Linked DNA regions of Drosophila melanogaster. The protein of the gene in region 2 interacts with the protein of the main gene of each other region in a pairwise test. Each region holds a gene or a part of one and is shown on either strand. Other genes may lie near its edges.

Region 1 (5,910 bases), on a different chromosome or scaffold from region 2:
CGGGTCATGTGCTGGCCAACATAACCGCGTCCAACTTCTTTGGAGCCCGTCATGGCCTGGAGACACTAGCCCAGTTGATTGTCTACGATGACATCCGCCGCGAGGTTCAGGTGACTGCCAATGCCACCATCAACGATGCTCCCGTGTACAAATGGCGTGGATTGCTCCTGGACACCTCCCGTAACTACTACTCTGTGAAGTCCATCAAGAGGACGTTGGGTAAGGCAATGGTTCAGGAAAGAGGCAGGGGAGGGTTATGTTTTCCGTTGACTCTATGAGTATCCTTTTTTCCTCCTTAGAGGGCATGGCCTTGGTCAAACTGAACACCTTCCACTGGCACATCACGGACTCGCACAGCTTCCCATTGGAGGTGAAGAAGCGTCCGGAGCTGCACAAGCTGGGAGCCTATTCCCAACGGCAGGTGTACACCCGTCGGGACGTGGCCGAGGTTGTGGAGTACGGCCGCGTGCGAGGCATCCGTGTTATGCCAGAGTTCGATGCCCCTGCCCATGTGGGTGAGGGCTGGCAGCACAAGAACATGACCGCCTGCTTCAATGCCCAGCCATGGAAGTCGTTCTGCGTTGAGCCACCGTGTGGCCAACTCGATCCCACTGTGAACGAAATGTACGATGTGCTGGAGGACATTTACGGCACCATGTTCGATCAGTTCAACCCGGATATCTTCCACATGGGCGGCGATGAAGTGTCAACCAGCTGCTGGAACAGCAGCCAGCCCATCCAGCAGTGGATGAAGAAACAGGGTTGGGGCCTGGAGACCGCCGACTTTATGCGCTTGTGGGGACACTTCCAGACGGAGGCTCTTGGTCGCGTGGACAAGGTGGCCAATGGTACGCACACGCCCATCATTCTGTGGACTAGTGGACTCACTGAGGAGCCCTTCATTGACGAGTATCTGAACCCAGAGCGTTACATCATTCAGATCTGGACCACTGGTGTAGATCCGAAGGTAAAGAAGATTCTGGAGCGGGGCTACAAGATCATTGTGTCCAACTACGATGCCCTGTACTTGGATTGCGGCGGAGCTGGCTGGGTGACCGATGGAAACAACTGGTGCTCCCCCTACATTGGCTGGCAGAAGGTGTACGACAATAGTTTGAAATCCATTGCCGGCGACTACGAGCATCATGTATTGGGCGCGGAGGGAGCCATTTGGTCAGAGCAGATCGACGAGCACACACTGGACAACCGCTTCTGGCCCAGGGCCAGTGCCCTGGCCGAACGACTTTGGTCAAATCCTGCCGAAGGTTGGCGCCAGGCGGAGTCACGTCTGCTGCTCCACCGCCAGCGACTGGTGGACAATGGTCTGGGCGCAGAGGCCATGCAGCCGCAGTGGTGCCTGCAAAACGAGCACGAGTGTCCCATTGACGCGTACGATGCACAAGTTTGACCAGCTATTAAACCATTTCTCTTAACGGTCGCTATCCTTGTAGATGTAGTCGGGGCAGCGGGCGGCTTGGGTTGATCGTCCTGTTGCTTCTCACAACGCTCTCTGCCTGAAAATAAAGTACAGCTCAAAGGTGGCCTTACGCAAGTGACTTGTCGTTTATTTTGTTAAATATAAATGAGATTATTGGCCCTGCTCTGCGCCCTTTTCCGATTCAAAGCGGCAGAATGTCGGAAATAGTGAGGGAAATCCGTACAGACTCGACGATTTTTTCGAATATGAACAGTAGCAGAGTTGGACATTTTACGCTTCAATGTGTGGGGTGAGGATTTGCGAGTGATGGTGTCCTCGGCCTCAAGCATAAACTCCTTGGACTCCTGATTATGTACGTAATGAGTCTAGATACTAAAAGCTGCGTTCCCTTGTGCAATAATTTGAATGGAAGCTTTACTCATTCCACTCTTCCTCGTTGCGTCCAAACTTGTAGACCAAACTGGCGAACAGGATGAAGACGTTTTGCATCAGCAGAGCCACGCCAAACCAGCCATCCTTCTTTTCTGAAAAACGATAAGTGGGTGCAATTCAGCTAAGGAATCCTTAAATATCTGTTTATTTCTCACCATTGTTGATGAAGTCGTCGATCATCACCCAGATGGCGGCAATGATGGAGGCAAAACCCATTAGGAAGCCCACAAGCAGCCAGATCTTCGCTATCCTGGCGCCGGACTCCGATGAGTTCTCATCAGAAATCTGCGCACAAACAAAAGAAGTGAGTCACTTGTTAAGCCCAATGATAAGTGTGTGTTACATGTTCTCCCTTCACTGCGTTCACCATGCAGAAGCTGATGGTCCCGAAGATGCCGATGAAGACGTGTCCTGTGGTAATCTGGTGCTTGCCGTCGATGGACATGGCATCGATTAGAACCCACCATCCTGCGAAAAACTAAGGAGAAAAAGTTGCACTGTCAGGCGGGCGGCTCTTTGTTTGCGGGTGTTAGCCTACCAGAAGTCCGGCTATTATGGAGGTGTTCCTGTTCCTGGACGCATCCCCCGTGAAATGCAACGCAATATTGTCCAACACGCCCATTGTTTAGGTTTTAAAACGTAATTAAATTTATTCCACTCTTAAATCTTCTTGTTTTGACGCACAGGGTTGTCTGTCTGCAGGTGAATACAGGGTTTCTTCACTCGCTGTAGCAACCCTGTTTCAGTATTTAGTGTGTTCACACCTGAACTGCAGCAGTAACATATACTTTTTGTGTAACACAAATTAACTCCGTTATAAAAAGAAAGTTGCTGTTAATTAAATATTTTGTGCAATAATTTGTGCAAACATTTAAATGTTTAACTTTAAAATTACTGCTTATGCAGTTTGTTGTTGTTTTTTAGTACGTTAAAGGCACGACGTCTTTTTCAGAAAGTCCAATACGGTCACACACAACTTCACGTTTAACAAAATTTAATTGATTTCCTTATTATTTAACAACCGATCGCAGCGACACGAGTGGGTGCGTGTTGTCAGTTATAGTAAGAGATTGCAAAGGAATCCTAACCAGAATGCTAGTCATAAACTCATGCAGAGCTGCCTCCAGATTGGCGCTACGCAGCCTCAATTTGCGATCGCCGATCGCAACGCGTACTTTCTCGACGGGATTGGCCCTGAAAACGAAAGATGTGTGAGTATCTTCTCCACCCCACGAGCACTACAATGGTAGCTCCACACCGCCAGAGCAGCGTAAACATTGACCAATCTCGCTATTGCAGTGTTAACATAACCTTCGTGCGTGCCAATGGGGACAAGATTAAGACGTCCGGAAAAGTGGGTGACTCCCTGCTGGACGTGGTGGTCAACAACAATGTGGATCTGGATGGTTTCGGGGCCTGTGAGGGCACGCTGACCTGCTCCACCTGCCACCTGATCTTCAAGACCAGCGATTTCGAGAAACTGCCCGACAAACCCGGTGATGAGGAGCTGGACATGCTGGATTTGGCGTACGAACTGACGGACACCTCGCGGCTGGGCTGCCAGATCACCCTGTCCAAGGATATGGAGGGCCTGGAGGTACATGTGCCCTCCACCATCAATGACGCACGTGCCGCGTAGATAGACACCACCACTGTTATCAATTGTTACAAATTTGAGTGCTAATTCGCTTTAGTTCAACCTAGATGTAGTCAATATTTTTGAACGAAATCGTATGTATTGTCCCAGGGACACAAACCTCAGGCGGCTATAATGGATGCGCGCATTAATCCGATTCCAGTTGCGGATTAGCGTCCGCTGTTGTTTTTAAAGTGTTTAAGCTCAAAGGGATTAGATCAATATGTAAATAAGTGTGTTGCAATAAATTTACATGTATTTTCGTACTTCTCTTGGTTTTATTGAAACTGTGGAGGAAAGCATCCAGCGTAGATATCATTTTTAACCAATAATTCATTTGCCTTTTTAATTCTATTGGCAAAACTAGCCGATTTTAAATCGGTCATTCTTGTTTTTTAAATATCTCAGCTAAAAAGTGTTTTTCTGCGTGTATTCATGATCTCGAAGTTGTGCTCGGCAAATAAACAGGCACACGCAAAGATTTTCCTCGGCATCATAGTTCTAATAAAAGTGTGTAGTATACTTTTGAACACAGGTTTATGATCATTAGTTAGCAAATTCAAGATGATCGTATTTTATATTCCTATTTGCCTCGCTTGTATGACAATGCGAACCATATTATTCTTTATTCTATTCATTCGTTTTGCCAAACTTGTTTTGTTTATACCAAAACTTCCAGTCACGGCCAACACAAGGGCTGTTATCAAAGCCCCCCACACAAACATTTCATCACACTGATAAAGTTTGCATTAGCTTTGTTTGCGTTTCCTTATCAGTCGTTCCCAAGCTCCGATAATCAGAGGTACTATTAGAACGCATTAAAACACTTGTCGCTTAATAAAAGTAAACTTTTTATTATTTCGCAGCTATCAAATAAAGTAATAAATAAATAATTTAATATATACATTTGCTATATTAACTTATTGTAAACGATTTTCTGCCTTTCCATGTTTGCCGCTTCATTACTTCGTTTGTGTTTATTTTCTCGATATTATTAACTTGCATATTGTAACATTCGAGGCTAATCTGTTCGTTCAGATGGCCTCAAATCCCGCGTAGGTATAACTGAAACTTAACAAGTCTGACAATTCAATTTCGCTTTGCCTAAAACTAGGGAAACATATGAAGGATAGAGCGTAGTGGTAAAGTAGGAAACCATTTGAAAGTGGCGGATTGTGGGATCTCAATAAATAACCAAAGAATAAATAGTTATGGGATGGGGGGTGCCTATGGGGAATGGGTTTGGAATGAGTGTTTCTGAAGTGCACATAAAACTGATTTGGTTTTCTGTTCACGCCGATCGGTCGCTGTTGATGGTGATGATGGTCCGGTCCTCTGGCCCGATTTCAGATCCTTAGTTCACATAGGCCATGCCCGCTCCCTTGCGATCGAAGTGACGCACGCGGACGAAGAGGAAGGCGGCGACTAGAGAGGCGACGGCCAGGACGAGCAGCAGCATCACCAATCCGCCCACAAAGCTGGGCACCGACATGCAGATGGTCTCCGCATCCGCGGACCTGGCCGACTGGATGACCACCGTCTCGTTGCTGGCATTGCTGTTCAGCGCAAAGTTAACGTCTCCGGGCGCCACCACCTGGATAATTCGGCTGGTGTTCACATCGGTCATCTCCTGCGCGTTCCTCTTGTAGATCCTCTGTGGCTTCACCACAATGTCCATGGTGTCTCTGCGCCTTCGCACGCCGCGCAGATCGTCCAGTCCCTCCACGGAGCGTGGGCGTCCGCCCAAGGAAACCAGGTTGCCACCGGCACTCAGGTCATCCTTGCGCTTCACCGTGCTGTACTGACCGCTCTGTCCTGGCAGTGGTGGTGGCGGCAGACCCAGTTCGTTGCTGCCAGTGGGCTGAGGCTGTGGCGACTGGGAGCTGGCAGGTCCGGAAACGGTTCCCGAGTCAGCAGTGGGCACTGCCGCCGATGTCTGAGCCTGGGGCGAGGGCACCACATCCGGTTGGTTCTCAGAGTACGCTCCAGTGGCATCGGAGGCAGGGTGACGTGGATCAGGATAGGCTGCTGGTGGCAGAACTCCGGGCCCGCCCAGGGCGAAATCGTTGCGCTCATATGCCTCTGGGGGACCATACTCCTCGGACAGACCGTTGGCTCCAATCTGGGGCAGACCGTACTCGCCACCCGGCAAACCGGGACCGCACTTGGGCTCGGGACAGTTGTAGCGGCACACCTGGATGACGCACTGGAAGTGCACATTCATCGAGTCGGGGAACTTGAAGGCCTGGAAGTAGGCGAAGCTAACCACCGATGCGGAGGGTCCGAAGTTCTTGATCTTCTGGAACTTGCTCATGATCTTGGGCCTGACAACGCAGCCATTCTGATCCACCAGCTGGATGGGAGCCCGCTTGCCGTCGTGGGCCACACAGTTGCGCACTAGCAT
Region 2 (5,075 bases):
TTCGTACTCTAGAAGAGAAGAACAATAATAAAATACATTACTTTACGATTTTACTGAATATCAAAGAAAAACATTATATATTTCATATAATTCTCCATTACATATATAAATTAAATCGTAAATTAAAAGAGCTCACTTTTATTGATTTTAAATACTTAAAAAAAAACCCACACAAATAGTTCTGCTGCAAATGTTTGTTGGGTAACTCGCTGAACACACGCCCAACCAACTGCAAAAATATAACGGTATCCAAGGTTGTGCTACGCTTAAAATGTAATTGTTCGACTTAAAGAGCCAGAGCAACAACATCAGCCAACAGCGAAACAACAAAACCAGAAACAACAACAACACGGCGATCAAGTTTGCCGCCGTCACCTTTTGCCGTCTAATCAAATACCAGACCAAGACCCAGGGAATAACGCCATCGCTTGAGACTCTGAGCTACCCACCTATGGATACGATACGATACCATACGATATGTAGATACATCCCATAACCGGCAGATGCATGTGCAGTAAAAAAAAATAACACGCATTAATAACTACATTAATTAGTCACCAACTATTGTGTTTCTTTCAATATATATAACATATTTGTATTTCGTACCTATCAATTTTACCTATTATTTGCCAACAAAATTACATACTTCTAATGATCAACAAGCATTGCACCATTTAAATTTAAATGATATTATCGAACAGAATAAGTATTATAATATTTACAGTTTTTAAAGTTTCTAATATACAATTAAATACATCATGATTGTGCAGATTATGATTTCTCTCCGTGTCGATGTATGGGCATGCCTGCATGGGCAGAGAGACACCAACCAACACATGGTCGAATCCGAAATTCAAATCCCAGCTCAACGTCATCGAAGCGCCGCACTCTGGAGGACTCCGCGATGCATCGCAGCGGGTCTTTGGGGGCTGGGGCGGAATTTTCACTTGAATATTCGACACACTTTGAGCCCGGGCACACACAGCTGGAAGTCGCGAAGGTTTGCAGGATTTCCAGACTCAGATTCAGATTGAGATTCAGGGAGGGGCGCCACAGCGCGCTTGGCTGTCTCAGCGATTCTTGGGGCTATGCATCATCATCATCATCATCGGCCGGGGCCGGCGTCGAAGTTGGAGCTGCAACATGGCAACATGTTGCAATCTGCCAGCTCTGCATGCATAAAATATTATGCAACATTATGCCACAGACACAGGCCAGACGACACTCTTGGTTTTATTTACACTTTTTTCGGGCTGTGGCCACCCCTCGCCCGAAATGTTGCTGCTTATTAGTGCCGGGATGTTGACAGCGTTTAGATCTAATTGAATCGCCCGGATCGCCGATTTCTGTGCCGTCCGTAGAACATTTGGCTTGGCCCGCTCCCATTTGGCCCATAACCCATAAATCTAACACACCGGCACGAGAGATTTATAGAGTTCAGATTGCGAAATGCGCAGAAGCACAGCACAGCGCGCAGCGCCGAGCTCGGAAAATCTTGAAAAATTAAAATGACTAGTGCCGGGGCACGATCAAGACCGTGCTGCCGTCTTGATAGCAGACAATGGCAACTCCGGAGGAGATGGAAAGCCCAAAAGCGAAACCTCAGCGGTAGTCAGCATTGGGGCGTCTGCAGTTCAACGTTCAAGTGGCACAGTACGCCCTAGAAAAATGAATTGATTCGATTGTTTTTCGCCGCAACTCGGGCTCCTCTACTTTATCTGCCAGCGCCGAGCGGAAAAATCTGAAAATGGTTAGACAAAAAAAAAACGAAAAATCAGGGGCAGAGGCAAAGGCAGAGGCAGGGAGCGCGCCCCGAAAAATACTGATGATACAATCGCGTTTTTGACTTTGAAAAGTCAGCTTCGAGTCAGCCGGGCTATTGTTCAATGGCCCAACTGCAGCAGCGGCAACATCAGCAACAGCAGCAGCAGCAGCAGCAGCAGCGGCCGACACTGATTGTTATGGTTTATGAGATGAAAATGCACTCGAAACAATATTCTGGGGCCAATGCAATTTGCGATTTTTAATCAACTCCTCTCGTCAGCACTCAGCAACAGAAGAAAACATCGTATTTGGGGGCCCCTGATTGCAGCTTCCACTTCGAGAATCGTGGCTCCTTCATCTGGCTTTTGATCTTCTCCCCGTCCCCGAGATGATTCCCCTGGCTCCTAGCCTGCATCCACTCGACCATCATCTGCAGGCCAGCAGAGCTGCCCTCCAGTTCGCCGCCCACTTTGCGGCCACAGTGCGTATGCGCGATGTAGCCACACACCTTAAGTTCTGCGGCTTTGTGGGCCACAACTGAAAGCAGGGCCTCATCGGAATCTTCGGGCACACTCATTTCATACGCTAATAGGTAGATCTCTGGCTGCGGTTGGAGTACCAGTTCCAGCGACATTTTTGGGAATGGAAATTTGAGTATGTGAGTTTTCACGGCTTTTGAAAATAAATGATCCAGATTTCCTAAGTTACTCTGCTGATGATATATAATCGAAAAATTTGCGTGGAGTAAACATCACTGATCCATCCAAAGGTAAGCATTTAAAACAAATTCTGAATCTTTAAAAATGCTATACTTTTATATTTATATAGATTTTCGTAAAAAGTATTTTTATAAACTATCAGGAAACGTATTTTAAAACAAAATGTCAATTAATAATTATGCTTTGCGTAAGTCATCAGTTTAATCAATTTAGTTTAAAAACAAACCTACACGCCAGTAAATTTAGCTTAACACTCAGTACAATCCAAAATTATAGCCCTAAGTTATTTGCATATCTTTCAGCAAAACTAAACAAGAAATGACATTATTAGGGTCCTACGATTGGATGTTCAATGAGGATATTCAACTTAGGACCGAGTTTAAGTTGTACAACATAATGTCAAGGAACCAATTTCCGCGTCGAATTCTTCAATATTGCCACAAAAACCATATAACCGGATACATAGTATTCACCCACGGGGGCAAACAAGCATTTGGAGTGATGGATGGCAAGCGGAAAGATTTAAACCGGATAAAGCCCTACCTTCTGAGGTTTTGCATTCCAGAACCCTTTAACCAACGAGTCACTTTTTCAGCCTACGAGTTATGCTTCAATCCGAACAAAGAGAAATTTAATATTAAGGATAGAGTTCCTAAGGGCGCCAAGTTTCTGGGAGATATATACGAGGACTGCTTTCTGAGGTTCAAGAATCAAAAACCGGAACCGGAAGAGGAAACCGAGGCAACTAAAGCCTTGTTCGCAAAATATTCCGACTTCTTTAACTTAAAATATTTCGTCAATTGTTAATGGACAATATATAGCTAAGACTATGCCAGCACAATTCCCGATTCTCTTTAGTCGCAGTGATTTCTCGCAGTGTGGATGCGACTCGTGCTGGCCATTGTTCAACACTATTTGCGGCACTCAATCTCTTAATTAAATATGCGACTAACTGGCAGCTCGGAGGCACTCGAAGAGTGGCCCAGACATCGCCGTTTAGTGTCGAAATTGTGCAAGTTTTGATTTTCCTTTTGTTGTTATGGAAGTCGCTGTTTGTATTTTTTTTTTGTTTTTGTTTTTGTTTTGGCTTGGTTTGGTTTTCTTGTTCGCTGGATAATCACAGGCCCGGCGAATAGACGGCAGAAATTAAATCAGCCAAGGTTATCGCATTAATAAGCCCCCTGGTTTGGGTTTTACAGTTTTCTGAGCCAGTCAATTATTAAATTTGCAATTTCCGTAGCTGAACTTTTGGGGTCAGTAGACTGATTTAAATCAAAACCGTAATTGAGCATTGCCCGCGAGCTAGAACCAATCGCACCAAAAACCAAATACCAAATACCAACCTCCGGGCAGGAAAATTGACAAATGTTTGATAGCTAGCTACCTTTTCGGATTGCTTGTTTCACGTGCATTTATTTTCCTCCAAAAGCGGATGTGGGGACGCTGCGAATCCGATTCAGAAAATGTACAGAAAAAAAATCGAAAATCAAAAACTCCCAGCTAAGTGGCTTTCCATGACATTTTACTGACACTCTTGCCGTTGAACTGGAAGACCTGTTTTCATTTTCCCTCTTAGCGCAACTTAACACATTTGACGAAGATGTCTATGCCAGCAAATGACGTGTCATCAATGGAGCCCGCACTCCCACATAAAGATGCACAGCGTCCTCAACTCGATCTCGGATCTCACATCTCGCATCTCGTACCCCGGCCACAAATCCCCAGCACTTGAAGCTTGAAGAGATCTGTTGGTGCTGTTGTATTAATAAGCCTGACATTTGAGCAGAGCATCCACTCGAAGCCATCGGGTTTCGGTTTTGCGTGTAGGCGTCTGAAAATAATAATTAAAAAATCGTTTCTAATGCGGAAATCTCGCGTTTTTGAGCTGGGGGTGAGCTTAATGCCGAAGATGTTAGACAAATATATCAGATTTCTATTTCTTTTTTTGTCGCGCTCCTCGCTTTGGTTAATCTTCCAGTGGACGGTTGTGGGGGATCGGCAAATCGGTGACATGGGTAAAGATGGATCGTTGGGAAAGCAATTGAACAGTGGATCGTCAGAGGTGAGTTGTGGAATCGTATGGGACCACAAGATGTAAAAAGGTGTAAAAAAGAAAAAAAAAATCAGCTTCCAAAATGTTTTTGATTTGTAGGCACGTCAGAAAGTTGTAAAAACATCCAAGCGGCAATGTATTAGAAACATGAAAATTAATTGGCTATAATAAAAAATAATATCTTTAGGTTTTATAAATTACATGATAATTATAAACCCATAATGTATTTATTGGCTAACCAAAGAAGGAGTTTATTCATAATATATCTTTATAATCGAGCACCTAACGGCAGTTAATCGTTAACAATTAAACAAGTCACAACTACGAGAGATGGACAGATCGACAGCAGATATTAAGGCCAATAGGTTGGCCATTGGGCTGGGCTGTGGCCGAAAGCATTAGGCCAAGTGTCCCGGCCCGCCCAAGAATTCAAAGACCTGGCCCGCCCAAATAATTAAATATGTAAGAGGCAAGAGCCCAAGTTAATAACAGCTGCTACCACAGAAGCCTTTTGCCGGCCAAACGTTAAAAATTTAATA
Region 3 (6,815 bases), on a different chromosome or scaffold from region 2:
TTAGCCAAAGATGGGAAGACACAATAGAGGAAACGCCGTGGACGGGCGCCGAATGAACAATATTTTCAGATTGAAATCGCGTCAACATTGGCATTAGGTATTCAGTTCGCCTGTCGGTCGGTTGACCAACCCCACCCCTTCGATACTCCCATCATATTTTATGGCACCAGCTAATTGAAAATGTACGACAAGGTCACTTCTATTATTAAACTTAATAACCGAACCAGCACCATTTTAAATGCAGTCGCATGCACCAATTAAGACAGCAAGTGAAAAAGATTCGAGGCAATTTCCCTACCGAAACACACCCCCCATTTTCCAGCATAAATGTTTTATGCGGCAAAGTTTTTTATAATCCGAAACCGGAACCGCATAAACAATGATTTCAGTACATTTCCGAAGTCGAGAAGGAAAGAGTTCGTTCCCCCATTGACCCGATGACTCTCCCCAATTGCCTCCAATTCAAAATGCTGTGTTCAGAATTGAATTAGCCGCCAAGGAGGGGCGCAGGGATCCTGACACAACTGCGAATCATATGGGAATCGGCAAAGATCGCTTACATTCCTGCTGAAACTGATATATGAGCTACCAGACAACAACTGCCCAATAAATACTGCAGATGGAAAAAAAAGTAACAAGCGAATCGGCCAAGACCGAACTCCGGGAAACCTGACTATTTGCGATTGCAATTCTATACTACGCGATAGTCGCTGAGTGGCAAACATCTGGGGACAAATGAACCCCTAGCAATCCGCCATCGGCTGTAGAAGATTAGTCATGTTGTTGAGCAAATTACTGGGAATGCAAACAACACGCCTAGACCGAAAACAAAAACCAGCTAACGATATTCGTCAACTTGTTTTGCTCTTTGGACGAGTTGCGCGGCCAGTTAGCTGTTTTGATAACAAAAGATGCTAATTTATAATAAGTCAAAGCCCCAGAAGATGGCTAAAACAGCAGCACTTTGTTGTGGAGCGGCCAAATGAATGGCACAGAGAGAAACTCTTGGACGCACAAAATTAAATTTCATTTTAGACAGTCAGTTTTACAGCTGCTCCAAATATAATAAACACGCAATGGGAGAGACTGGCTAAAAAAAAAAGAGAAATAAAATTCATTTAACTGGCGGGGAATGGAGGTCACTGGGCTGCTTGGGCTACACCAAAAATCCATCAGCAAAATTAAATATTAAATGTTTGACGTGGCGTCCAAGAAGGCGGCCCAGAGTTCCGGGAAAAACTGGGCATGACGTGACCGACCAATAAATCGTCTAATTTTGTTTCGCCGGGCGGGCGCTGCATTAGCCTGGGGAATTGGAGCAATATGTGTATATTGCACAACCGGCCCACTCAAGGGTCTTTTGGATGACAACATGGATGACTTTTCCACTTAGGCGTTCTGTGTTTTCTGTGGACGATATCCCCAGCTGACTGAGTGTTCCCGTACGGGAATAGCCGCGGTTCTCGGATTCGCTGCTCTTATCACACGCCTTTTTCCGGCCGTAAAATACTCTTTGTGTGCTTAGCTTTATCAGCGGGCGATTTATATCCGTGCACTTACATACATATGAAAGTGGAGGCGACATCACAGCTGCCTTGAGTAAATATAGAAATTACAGCATGCTTATGTGGCAGCCACTCCCACTTCGGTGCCCAGCCCCCAGTTCCCTGCGCCCCTAGCTCCATCTGCTCTTGCACGTTCCGGAATGCACTTTGTATTTCCATTGTACTATTTTTGTGGAATCGTGGAATCGAGGAAAAACCACCTTGCGGGCAGACAGAGAGAGAGCGCGAGCCGGGAGAGAGAGACCGCACTAAAATAACAGGCGGTGGCTCATTTTGGCGCCGCGCCAATTTACAAATCTGTCCGCTGCAGCCCCCCGGAAAATAGTAATCATCACCGTTTGGCAGGGGGCGTCGCCTGCCATGTTAGCTGCAGTATCGCGTGGTCACATAGCCGTGCTCCTGTTTTCACTTTCACCGACATCGATCAGATTCCATTAAATTAGGAACTTTGTTTTGCAAAACCGATTATTATTACAGATTATCCGCAGATGGATCGGAATTTTAATCATTGAAATAAACAAGTAATGACGATAACACATTCCTCACTCTCCGTAGCCTACGAAGATATTAGTTTTTGAACAGTAAACCCAATTTTTCAGCGGTTCAAATGCCTTTAAATTCAGTGACCCCTAGACTGTTTATATGTTTAGCTCAAATATAAAACTATATAGACTGGGATTCCCAGAACACACCTGTAAACCCACCAGGATAGCCCACCTTAAACTAGGGATTGCTTGGGCTGTAGGTACACAGATTGTTGGCTTTTTGGACTACCTGCCTCTACATAAGGAACATGGCTTAGGAATTGCCTGGTCAACACACTTACCTCTTCCAAGACGCCAATCGTGTGGCGGCAGTCGGGCATCCTCGAGGCGAAGGTGGAGGTGGTGGGCGAGCTGTAATCGGAGCGCGTCTCCTCCACAAACTCGGACACGGCAATCAGGGATGGCGGCATTTTGCTGCTCAGGATATCCCGATGTCCTGGTATATACAGCGTATCTTTTACTCACACGCACACTCACTCACACACACACACACGCGAGTCGCACGCACACCAGCTCACGCCCAAGGCCGTGGAACGGGAGCAAAATGGGAGTGGGAGCGGGACGGCAAATAGCTGAGAAACTACCAGGATAACGCCTTTAAGCACTGTACGTGTCTCTGCGTCTTTGTTCACTCCCGATTTGTGTTGTTGCTCGTCGCACTTTCCCTGGCACTATATCCATATATCCACACACTGGCGTTCTCATCATCCTCATGCAATTTGGCTTTTTGCTTTTCGCTTTTCGGTTTTCTGCGTTTTTGGTACTGCTCGTACTACTCGAGATGCACAATTAACTTTGTCTCTGGGCGAGGGAAGTGCGCAGTACCCGGAATCGCGGCAATCATGGTAGGATCAGAAACACACTCGGACTGGTACTGCTACTGTGACTGGGACTCGCGGCACTGGACATGGTCGTCCTAACTTTAGGCGTGATTTAATACTTTTGTTTTATTGCGATTTTGTGCTGCTGGCGTCTCGCTGTTGTTACCCTATCGATATGCTATCGAAAGCAGCAGGCCTGTTTCGCTGACTCACAGTTACGTCGCCCAACTGAGGTAGCGATAACATTTATCGACCGCCAGCAACGCGGTGTGGATTTTATTCGGTTTTTTTTTTCTTTTTCACTGGCATTTGCTTTGAGTTTTAATACAGAGTAGAACAAGATGGCTGGCAAGCGACAAGCCACTTCGAACCTGAACCACGAAAACTGGGACCTGGAGGAGGAACCCGAGGAGCGCGGCACATTCCGCACGGCCACCGAAGAGGAGCTAAAGACACGCGTTATCAAGAAGGCGCGCCGCAAGATTGCCGGTGGATCGTCCGCCGCTGAAGAGGATGGCGCCGAAGAAAAGACTGCAGAGCCCAAAAGTGTGTTCAGTGGCTTTTCCGGTAAGCTATCAAATCCATGCAGACCTGAGGGACTTGCTCACTCCGATTGCTTTTAGGTTTCGGCAAGCCGGCTGCGAGCCCAGCCGCGGGTTCGCCTTTCTCCTTCCTGGCCAATGTGACGGCACCAGCCACGACCTCTAGCAGCGAGCCAAAAAAGTCTGCATTCTCGTTCGGGTTCAGCTCCAGTTCCAGTTCGGCCGATCGGCCTGTCAGCACTAGCATTTGCGGCACCGCCAGCACCAGCAGCACGGCCCCCTCTCCTTTGCCGGCCAAGGAATCAACAAGTACCGTCGATGGCGCCAAGCCGACCACCTCGATATTTGGCAACATATCAGCTGCCAAGAAGGAGAGTAGCGAGGCCAAAACCAGCAGCAGCAGCACTAGCCTCACATCCACCATGGAGACCTCCGAGTACCGTGAAAGCGTTGCTGACCTAAATCGGTCCGTCATAAAATTCCTGCAGGACCAAATGGGCAAAAGTCCCTACTGCATACTGACTCCAGTGTTTAAGAACTATGATGAGCATCTAAAGGATCTGCAAGACGAGGAGAGCGCCAGAACGAACTCCACGAAATCCAAAACGGCACAAGCTCGTTCTCAAGAACCAGTTGCAAAGGTGTCCCGTGCATCGTCGCCACCAAAAGCGGCTACTACGTTTACGTTTGGCAAGCCCAGCGCGCCAATAGGCGCCAGCGTATCGCCCTTAGCCAAGAAACCCAACTGCACCATAACCAGTGGTGGAACAACCACCACGACCGCAACACCACTGGTCTCCTTCGGCAGTACGGCATCGTTCACTGCGCCAGTGCCGTCCTCCTCCAGTATCTTCAGTTTGACAGCAAAACCCACTGGAGAAGCCAAATCCGATGATACCCCTAAGTCCAGCATTTTTAGCTTTGGAGCAAAGGATACGACCACTAAAAAGGATGAGCCTAACTTCTCGGCACCGAAGACCAATGGCTTTTCCTTCGGACTGAAAAGTAACAACGACGACAAGCCAAGCACCTCGTTGTTTGCGGGTTTCGGAAAAGCGCCTGGAGGAGCAGGAGACGGCGCAAAGGGCTTTTCCTTCACCAACAGTGCCACGCCCTTCTCTCTCGGAAACATTCATCCGCCAGCTGCAGCGGCAGCGCCTGCGGAGGAGGAAAAAGAAGAGGATACGCCCCCAAAAGTCGAGTTTAAACAGGTGATGATAAAAGAATTTTCTTTTCGAAGGGAAAGATAATATAACTTCTACTCCAAACAGGTTGTGGAGGATGACGCTATATACTCCAAGCGGTGTAAGGTGTTCATTAAGAAAGACAAGGACTTTGGCGATCGTGGCGTGGGCACGTTGTACTTGAAACCTGTCAAGGACTCCGAAAAGATCCAACTGTTAGTCCGCGCCGACACCAATCTGGGCAACATCTTGGTCAACCTTATTCTTAGCAAGGGTATACCTTGCCAGCGCATGGGCAAGAACAATGTGCTGATGGTCTGCGTGCCCACGCCAGAGGACTCCAAGGCCACATCGCTGTTGCTACGCGTAAAGACCGGTGACGAAGCCGACGACTTGCTGGAGAAGATCAAGGAGCACATCAAGTAGAGGATAGACAACTAACATGAATTCGTACATATAGATGTTGTTTAATCGTTTGTATTTTAAAAGCTATAAATGTACGAAACCCTGGAAATAGAACTCAAGAATGTACACACAAAAATGATAATCAGTCAATTGTGGCTACAATGATTTTGGCTTCAAGCATATCTTTGAGATGAATACTTAAAGTTCGCACATCCTCAGAAGACTCGTCCAACCCACTCATATAATATTGACGCAACATGCGACCGATTTCGGGGGGATAAGCTAAAAATTTTAACGAGATCAGTTTCGGGTATACAATTTAAATTGATAGTCGCTTACTTATTGTTTCCACTGTGACAATTTTGGTGCGCCGGTTAACGTAAGTGCACCTCCCGGCGACAAATTCGGTTGTGCCAGAATTGGCGTTTCCCTTAATCTTCAGCAGTTTAAATATAACCGTATCGCCCCTGGACGGCAGGCTATTGAGTGGAGTTGCAGTCCGCAGTAGGTCCCTTATAATATCCAAAGATTGCCTATTTTCTACTACTAAGATGTCAAGGGCACTCATAAGCATACATCTACCATTTAAATGCCTCGTATCTCACCTGGAATCGGTTCAATATCAGAGTCGCCGTATGAAACGTCGATATTGGAGTCGTCTACCAACATCACATCGTCGTCGGAATCGGATACTAGTTGTTCCTCAAAAATGGGCACTGTTACCGTTTTAACATCCTTCGAATCAACGTTATTTTTAATCGGAGATGCACTTCCGTCATCTGGCAAAATTTTTTCGACTTTGGGTGTTTTTTCCATAGATGTGTTGTTCTGTAGAAATGACTCAGTAAGTTCAAGTGGATTAGTTGCTTCAGCTTCGGACGGAAGAGTGGTCTCAGCTTCAGTCGAATTGTCCAGATAAGCGGATTCAACTGCTCCTATGGCCCCCGGAAGAGTGGTTGATGTTTCAATGATGTCTTCGCAAAGAGGTGCAACTGCTCTCTTTATACCTTCTGAAACATTTTTTTTATCCTTTACATCTGGTAATTCTTCGTCGTGCAAAATTTCGTAGGATTTAGGCTTTAAGGTTGAATCCTTCCCATTGCTTGGGAATTGTTTAGCCGTATCATCACTCTTAGCTCCTTTCTGCAGCAAAAAACGAGGACTGATGGGCTTAAGTTTTTTATATTCCAGAATTTCAATTTGTTGTTTTTTAGTGGGAAATTGAAATATGCGCGGAACATTAAAGGGCATCTCCAAGAGAGGGGAGCGGAACGAAATCGATAGGAGGCTAGCAGCAATGCCAGGACTCTTCTCAATTTGGTCCCCTGCTTTCAGTTGAGATAGTTTATCCGGAATTTTGTTGGACTCCAAGTGTGTTTTGTCCTGTTGCTCCTCTCGAGTTTCGTTTTCCTTCGTTACCACACCAGATTTTTCTGATAGAATGTCAGGCGATGTCTCTTGATTCTTGCTTTCTGACATTTTACCCTCCTTGAGCGTGCATCGAGAAATACTCTTAGGAGCAGGTTCATTCTCTACCTGGTCAGATGCCTCGGGCGATTTGGTCGGTTTCTTGTTTTTGGATTTATTTTTAATCTGAGGAGCAGATTCCTTGTTCTCTGTCTCGATGTTCGCTGACATGTTAGAAACTTCTGTCTGAGTTTCAGGGGCCTTTGGAGTGCCTTTGTTTGTCAAGAGCTTTGATTGTACAGAAGGTCCAGGAGCCATATCTAGCAACTCCTTCTTTCTCACACGA
Region 4 (5,642 bases), 2.2 Mb from region 2:
TTGATATGTCTGAAATGCCTATTCGATTAAACAGTTTGTCAAATGTAAGCGTTTATAAATTTTTTATTAAGTTTTAAATCAATTTTTAAATATATATAACATTTATATCCAGACATGCTACTGGGCCTTAGTTTTAAAGATTATTAAGTTATGTTAATATGAAAATATGCTAAATTCGTTCGATATAATTAGGCTTCGCCAGTATTTTTCTTTTTTTTTGGTGGTGTAAGTTCACAATGAGGAAAAATAAGGGTTGGGGTTGCCGGGCAGGTCATCCTTTCGAATAAAACACAGCAAGTATAACTGTCAGGCTGCAGAGGCTGCCGTTTATCACACATGTACACACACTACTCGCATGTACACTCACCTATGGGTCGCACTGTGTGCTTATAGGTTGACTCTGCATAAATGTCAAAGAAGATGCGAATGTGTGTGTGTGTGTGTTTGCCCGTTTGGTATAGAAGATTTCAGTTCAATTAAGCGTATTTGGCTAACAAATTAAACTTGAAGCAATTCAGTGAGTCAAGAGAAACCATTGACATAAAGGCAATGGGTTTTCAAATCGACATATATATGTCAAATTTTTAGTATTGATGTTTTTTTAGTTTTCAGGTTATCTATTTCATACGTATTTTATTTAAAGTGCTTTACCTAAACCTTAATAAATGCTTGCATTCTATCCATTCTGAGCCGTAAATATGCCTGAATTTCCTGTCCAATAAAATCCGTTGCAGCATTGTTCACAATTCAGCTTTTCTCATTTGCCATAAATAATAAGTGAAAAGCGTGTCATTCTAAACACGCCTTCTGCTTTCACCTACCGACTTCATAAAATACCTCGTTCGTGTTTTATGGCTGTGCACAGTGACAAGTGTTAAAATAACATTTGTACTGCATTTTAAATGGCATTTTGAGAAAAGAATTTCCGTGCGCAAGTGTGTTGCCATTTTGAAATTCTTTTATTTCTAGTGTGCAAAACGTTGGGGCAAAACAATCAACAAACGAATTTCCTGGTAGTCCGGTGTTTGTATTTCATTTTTGGGCTAGAGTCAAAAGGCTACATTTAACCGAGGAAAACATCAAACATTTTAAATAAATGTTCGCTCTGGGCGGAGAGCTGTTGTCCCTGATTTTTCAACGCTTCTATTTTTAGGTCTATACGAAACGGAAATCAAATAGAATTTAACCCACCTACAAAAACCATTCCTGCATACACACACAGATACATTTACGGCAAACAGACAAAGAAAAAACAGAAATCATAGCATACTTTAATGTGCTTTAGGGCCAGCAAAGTGAAGGGCAAAAAATGTATAAGAACTTATTGTAAATCACCGGATTGTTGAATTTTTATTTACATTGAAATTTACGTTTTAATTAATATGCAAACATGCACATAAAATTTGCGTTGGAAATATTCGTTATTGATTTTAAGATCCTATTGTTCTTTTTCCATGAATCGTTTATTTTATTATTAAAATAGAACGTAAAGAAGGAGCTCATACAACAATATTGAACAATTATTAATTTTATTGGCTTCTTTTCGGTCTTTTTCAGTTTCTGAGCGTACATTTTCCCATTTAAAAGTTATTTAATTACTTTACATTGGAAACATTTTAATATTTTAATGTTTAATTCAATTTAAAATGAATATTTCTGTATAAAATTGCCAAATAATATCACAAATTTTTCTTAAGCCTTTAAAGTTAAGATGTACAAATACTTAAAAAAGAGTACAATATATATATGTACGTAAAAGAGCATCGGAGAAACGATATATTTCTAGCTGTCACATTCGTTTTAACCATTTTTTTTATTGACTTTCAAACGTTCGGTTCAGTGGCAGCCATATGGCAAACTCTGACACTTTTTGATTAAATTACCGTTGACTGTCAATATCAAGAGTAAACGGCACTGCTTTCCAACTGTCCTTGGCAGCACTGGAACTGGCGTAGTTTTTGTACTTAATAGGCATTAATAACATTTTAACTTTGTTTAGTGCTTTTTGTTCGCCTTTTCATCGATTTCGCCATTGCCTGAAGTTGAAGATGACTGAGCATTGACATCTTTGTTAGTCAGTTGACTTTGACAGCTGTTGAGGCTTTAATTGCCACTATAAAAATGATTGATAACGAAAACTTTGGCGTGCGTATAAACATCCTTTATTGTTTTCTTTGCATTCGCTTTTTTGTGCCGTTTTTTTTTTTTCTTTTTTGCACAACCCAGTTTAATTAAACCTCCATATGGTATATATTCTGGGCTCGATTACCAAAGTGTGGGCGGTCAGGGATTCTATATTTAGACCACGCTGATTAGAAACAGCAGTGGCGAAAAACGTCAGCAGAAAGGCGTCCCTGATGTAAATATCAGAAGCCAATATTGGAGAACAGAGAGCGGCAAAGTTTGCTCAATTCTTTTACCACTCCTGTTGTTGTGAGTCGGGGATTATTGATAGATATGGCTAAATCCGCTTATATTGGCCAGCTTCTGCAAGGCTGATAGATAAGCGCTTGACGTCGGCCAGTCTACGTAAGTCTTGTTACCAACTGGATGGCGGTCCAAACTTGGCCAAGGATTCAAATGCCAGCGAACAGAGTACAATCAAGGTACAGGTATTTTTCTATCAATATGTACTATTCTCTTTTAATTAATAGATTTCTTTAAAATAATTGTGTTATTTAAAAGTGTAGGATTTTGTAATATTTAAATTAAAGCATGCTGAGAACTTGGTTGTCACTGAAATCTGACTAACAGCTGGCCAGTTGTATTTTGTGTTTTGCACGTAACTCTCAGTTCTTAGAACCGATTTTAGTGATAGCACACGTTTATACAGAATTACACAAATATCGAAAAAAATGCCCAACTTTAATGGGGCTATTATAGTGCACACACTTCAGTTGTTGAAAGCGCCGGCGACACTGCGAGAAATAGTGGTAACCATAGCCAAAAATACGGAATTATCGCAAGATGAGCTTAAAGAGCCTGTGAAACAAACCCTTGAAATGGGCCATCGCTTGGGATTCCTGCAGAAACTCGACGGTGAGATACTTAAACTTATTTTTATACCACACCTTAAAAAAAGGTAAATTCAAAAGGTCGCTACTTTTTGATGAATGTGACCTTCGAGACATTGATGTCTGAGATGGAGGCCCTTGACAAAGAAGAATCTCCGGAGAAGTCACTTAAAAAGAAAAAGAAATTAATACCCAAGACTCCTTTATCGTCGGTCGCTGAGAAAAAAATTAATAAGAAGCCAAGTCAAGTCAAGACAACGGAACAGTTGGTAAAGTCAAAACCAACTGAAAAGGGCCGACTGCAGGACATTCCTAGTTCATCCACAAACATAAGAAAAACGCCATCCAAGCTGATTAAGCGAACAGTTTTTAAGTAAGCCACGCAAAAGGATATTCGAACTTGTCAAAAAAAAAAAAAAAAAAAAAAAAACATCCAAGAAACCAATGCTACATATATTTGTTACAGGATAAATTTCTTGTCCGTTCTATTATAATATTTGGCCCAAAATAGGAAAAGATATTAAAATCTTATAAAATTTCATTAAAGCGTTTTTAAATCTAAATATTTAAAATAGGTCCATTGGGTATAATCGATTAAAATACGAAATTGCTGTCGGGAATAAGTCCTTACTTTCCGTCTCCTAATTCCCGTGGCCAATGAGAGGGTGCCTTTGAGAAATGGTGGCTCATTTGCGCAAACTGACAAATGTCTCAATTAGCGGAGGACGAATCCTCAAATGCAAGGGCGGTGGGGAGTATACATATATTCGGGAAAGTGGGTGGCAGCGAGGCGCCCGACAATGTCGCGACGCTTCCTATTCAATTTGAAAACCAAATGAAGCGTTGCCTCCGCCAAGGAGCAATTTACTCAGTGCATTGAATTGACCATATGGTTGGACACCCACCGAAGTCACCCACACGCCATCCGCACCACCGCCCCTCGAGGCATTTAGAATGGCCAACCCACCAGTTACAGGATCCCTTAAATTTTCGTAAAAAGCTTTAATGCACTCAAACAAGTTCTACACCATATTGTACTGTAAAAGATTTCAAAAAAGTAACTTTTTTTAAATCACTGTATACTTCATATGGAATATTTTTAGAGATTAAAATATTTATTTCTTTTTTTTTTATTTATTAGAAATCAAGTTCTAAATATACTATTTTATTTTTGTCATTAATTATTGTTGGAAATAAAGATGTATGAATAAAATATTTATTTTAAATAAACTTATGAATTTCGAATGCAAATCCATTTTTTCCGGTGCAATTGTAGGGTTTTTTATATAGTTACTCGCGCTGCTTTGCTTTGACCTTTGCGATGACGTCGGACCGGCGTCGGCTACCTCAAAGAGAGAGCAATGTAAACAGAGAAAGAGAAAGGCAGAGAAAGCAAGAGAGAGAACCAGTGGGGGAGAGAGCCTGGTGAATAAACAGCATGGTGAGAAGCGGTTCCTACGCGAAGAGTGCAACAAATGTTTGGTGGACAACTTCGGGCCAACAAGGTAAATGTTAAGGCATACACGATGGCTGAGTGGGTGAGCTTGTCGTTGGGTGGTTTTAGCGGGCGGTGGGTTAGTTGGGCGGGCTGCTTAGTGGGGTGGTTGCTTTTCGGCCCGTGACGCGTGGGCAGCGACAAAAGCGGGTGAAGCTATGTCTTGCCCTTTTTTTCGGCATACTGGCATACATAGCACGGCGAATTATTTGTGTGTGCCGATGTGCGGATATACAAATGTGTGCCTTTATAAGTGTGCTTTTATCAGGGTGCGTCAATCTAAGCCAAGTTCTGAATTTACGAAAGTCTTGAAATGCCAAGTATATTCTTATAAAGGTTTAAGCGCTAAAAGGAAATCAACAGTCCGCAAAAATAGCTGATCTTAATATTTCTTCTATTAAAAAAAAAGCACTTAATTTTAGTTCAGATCTTTACTTAGTTTAAGTCCTATATGCATGAACAAGTTTAATCAATATTGAAGTTTTTTATATTTAGCTTCGAACAAATTGCTCCACCCTAATGCTCCTGTATCCTTGTTCGCGATGAGCGTATACCCAGACAACGAAATGTCACAGCAGCCTACTTATGCTTTTTTCGCATCGCGTTTTATCCCCAAATGTGTGTGCGATTTTTGGTTCAGCTTTTTGGCATATGGTCGCCGTGCCGGAAAAGTGGGAAACCGGTAAGGGGGCTGCTTTCCCATTTGCAGTTTGGCTGAAAAGCTGTTTCGCTTATTTCCCTCTTTTTTAGTCAACCGTTTCTAGATAAATATTTTGCAACACCGCATCGCATTTCCATGATTAGCAGATAAACATATGCCAAGTTGCAAACTTGGCGTGTGTGTTCGGAGTGTAGAAGTTTAGAGAATCCCTGGGTAGTGGGCGGTTATACACGCGACTTTAATTGAGCTTTCAAGAGGACTAAGTTAAACATACAAATGTTTGCTTAGGATGCAACAGCTGTTGGCTGTGAGTTAAAAATTGTTCGAAAAAAACCTCTTTGGAGAAGTGGAATATCTTAAAATATTTAAATTTAAAATTTGATTTAAAACAATAAATGACGTAAGGTTTTTAAATTATAGTATAAAAATACTAGATTAATCGAAAATTAATGAAGTTTTGTATACCGCATTG

The links.
Region 1: the proteins of CG15167 (region 2) and Fdx2 interact in a two-hybrid assay, tested with the Drosophila melanogaster proteins (one large-scale study listed by BioGRID).
Region 3: the proteins of CG15167 (region 2) and Nup50 interact in a two-hybrid assay, tested with the Drosophila melanogaster proteins (one large-scale study listed by BioGRID).
Region 4: the proteins of CG15167 (region 2) and CG5968 interact in a two-hybrid assay, tested with the Drosophila melanogaster proteins (one large-scale study listed by BioGRID).

What each region holds. Positions count from the first base shown.
Region 1 is NT_037436.4:4,289,662-4,295,571, forward strand, and holds Fdx2 (ferredoxin 2), read left to right. Parts: upstream 1-2,820; 5' UTR 2,821-2,962; coding exon 2,963-3,081; intron 3,082-3,169; coding exon 3,170-3,509; 3' UTR 3,510-3,771; downstream 3,772-5,910. Other genes in the region: Hexo1 (hexosaminidase 1), read left to right, coding at 1-219, 300-1,389, 1,452-1,518; CG15012 (uncharacterized protein), read right to left, coding at 1,853-1,962, 2,026-2,155, 2,214-2,348, 2,409-2,492; dyl (dusky-like), read right to left, coding at 4,861-5,910. UniProt on the Drosophila melanogaster protein: Required for ecdysteroidogenesis in the prothoracic gland which is necessary for larval to pupal transition.
Region 2 is NT_033779.5:18,737,733-18,742,807, reverse strand, and holds CG15167 (uncharacterized protein), read right to left. Parts: upstream 2,451-5,075; 5' UTR 2,399-2,450; coding exon 2,048-2,398; 3' UTR 2,001-2,047; downstream 1-2,000. Other genes in the region: CG42752 (uncharacterized protein), read left to right, coding at 2,802-3,290.
Region 3 is NT_033778.4:8,119,866-8,126,680, forward strand, and holds Nup50 (nucleoporin 50kD), read left to right. Parts: upstream 1-3,170; 5' UTR 3,171-3,272; coding exon 3,273-3,498; intron 3,499-3,554; coding exon 3,555-4,684; intron 4,685-4,744; coding exon 4,745-5,083; 3' UTR 5,084-5,193; downstream 5,194-6,815. Other genes in the region: Asap (ArfGAP with SH3 domain, ankyrin repeat and PH domain), read right to left, coding at 2,392-2,520; coil (coilin), read right to left, coding at 5,205-5,344, 5,402-5,608, 5,668-6,815.
Region 4 is NT_033779.5:16,547,100-16,552,741, reverse strand, and holds CG5968 (uncharacterized protein), read left to right. Parts: upstream 1-2,782; 5' UTR 2,783-2,855; coding exon 2,856-3,039; intron 3,040-3,095; coding exon 3,096-3,391; 3' UTR 3,392-3,561; downstream 3,562-5,642.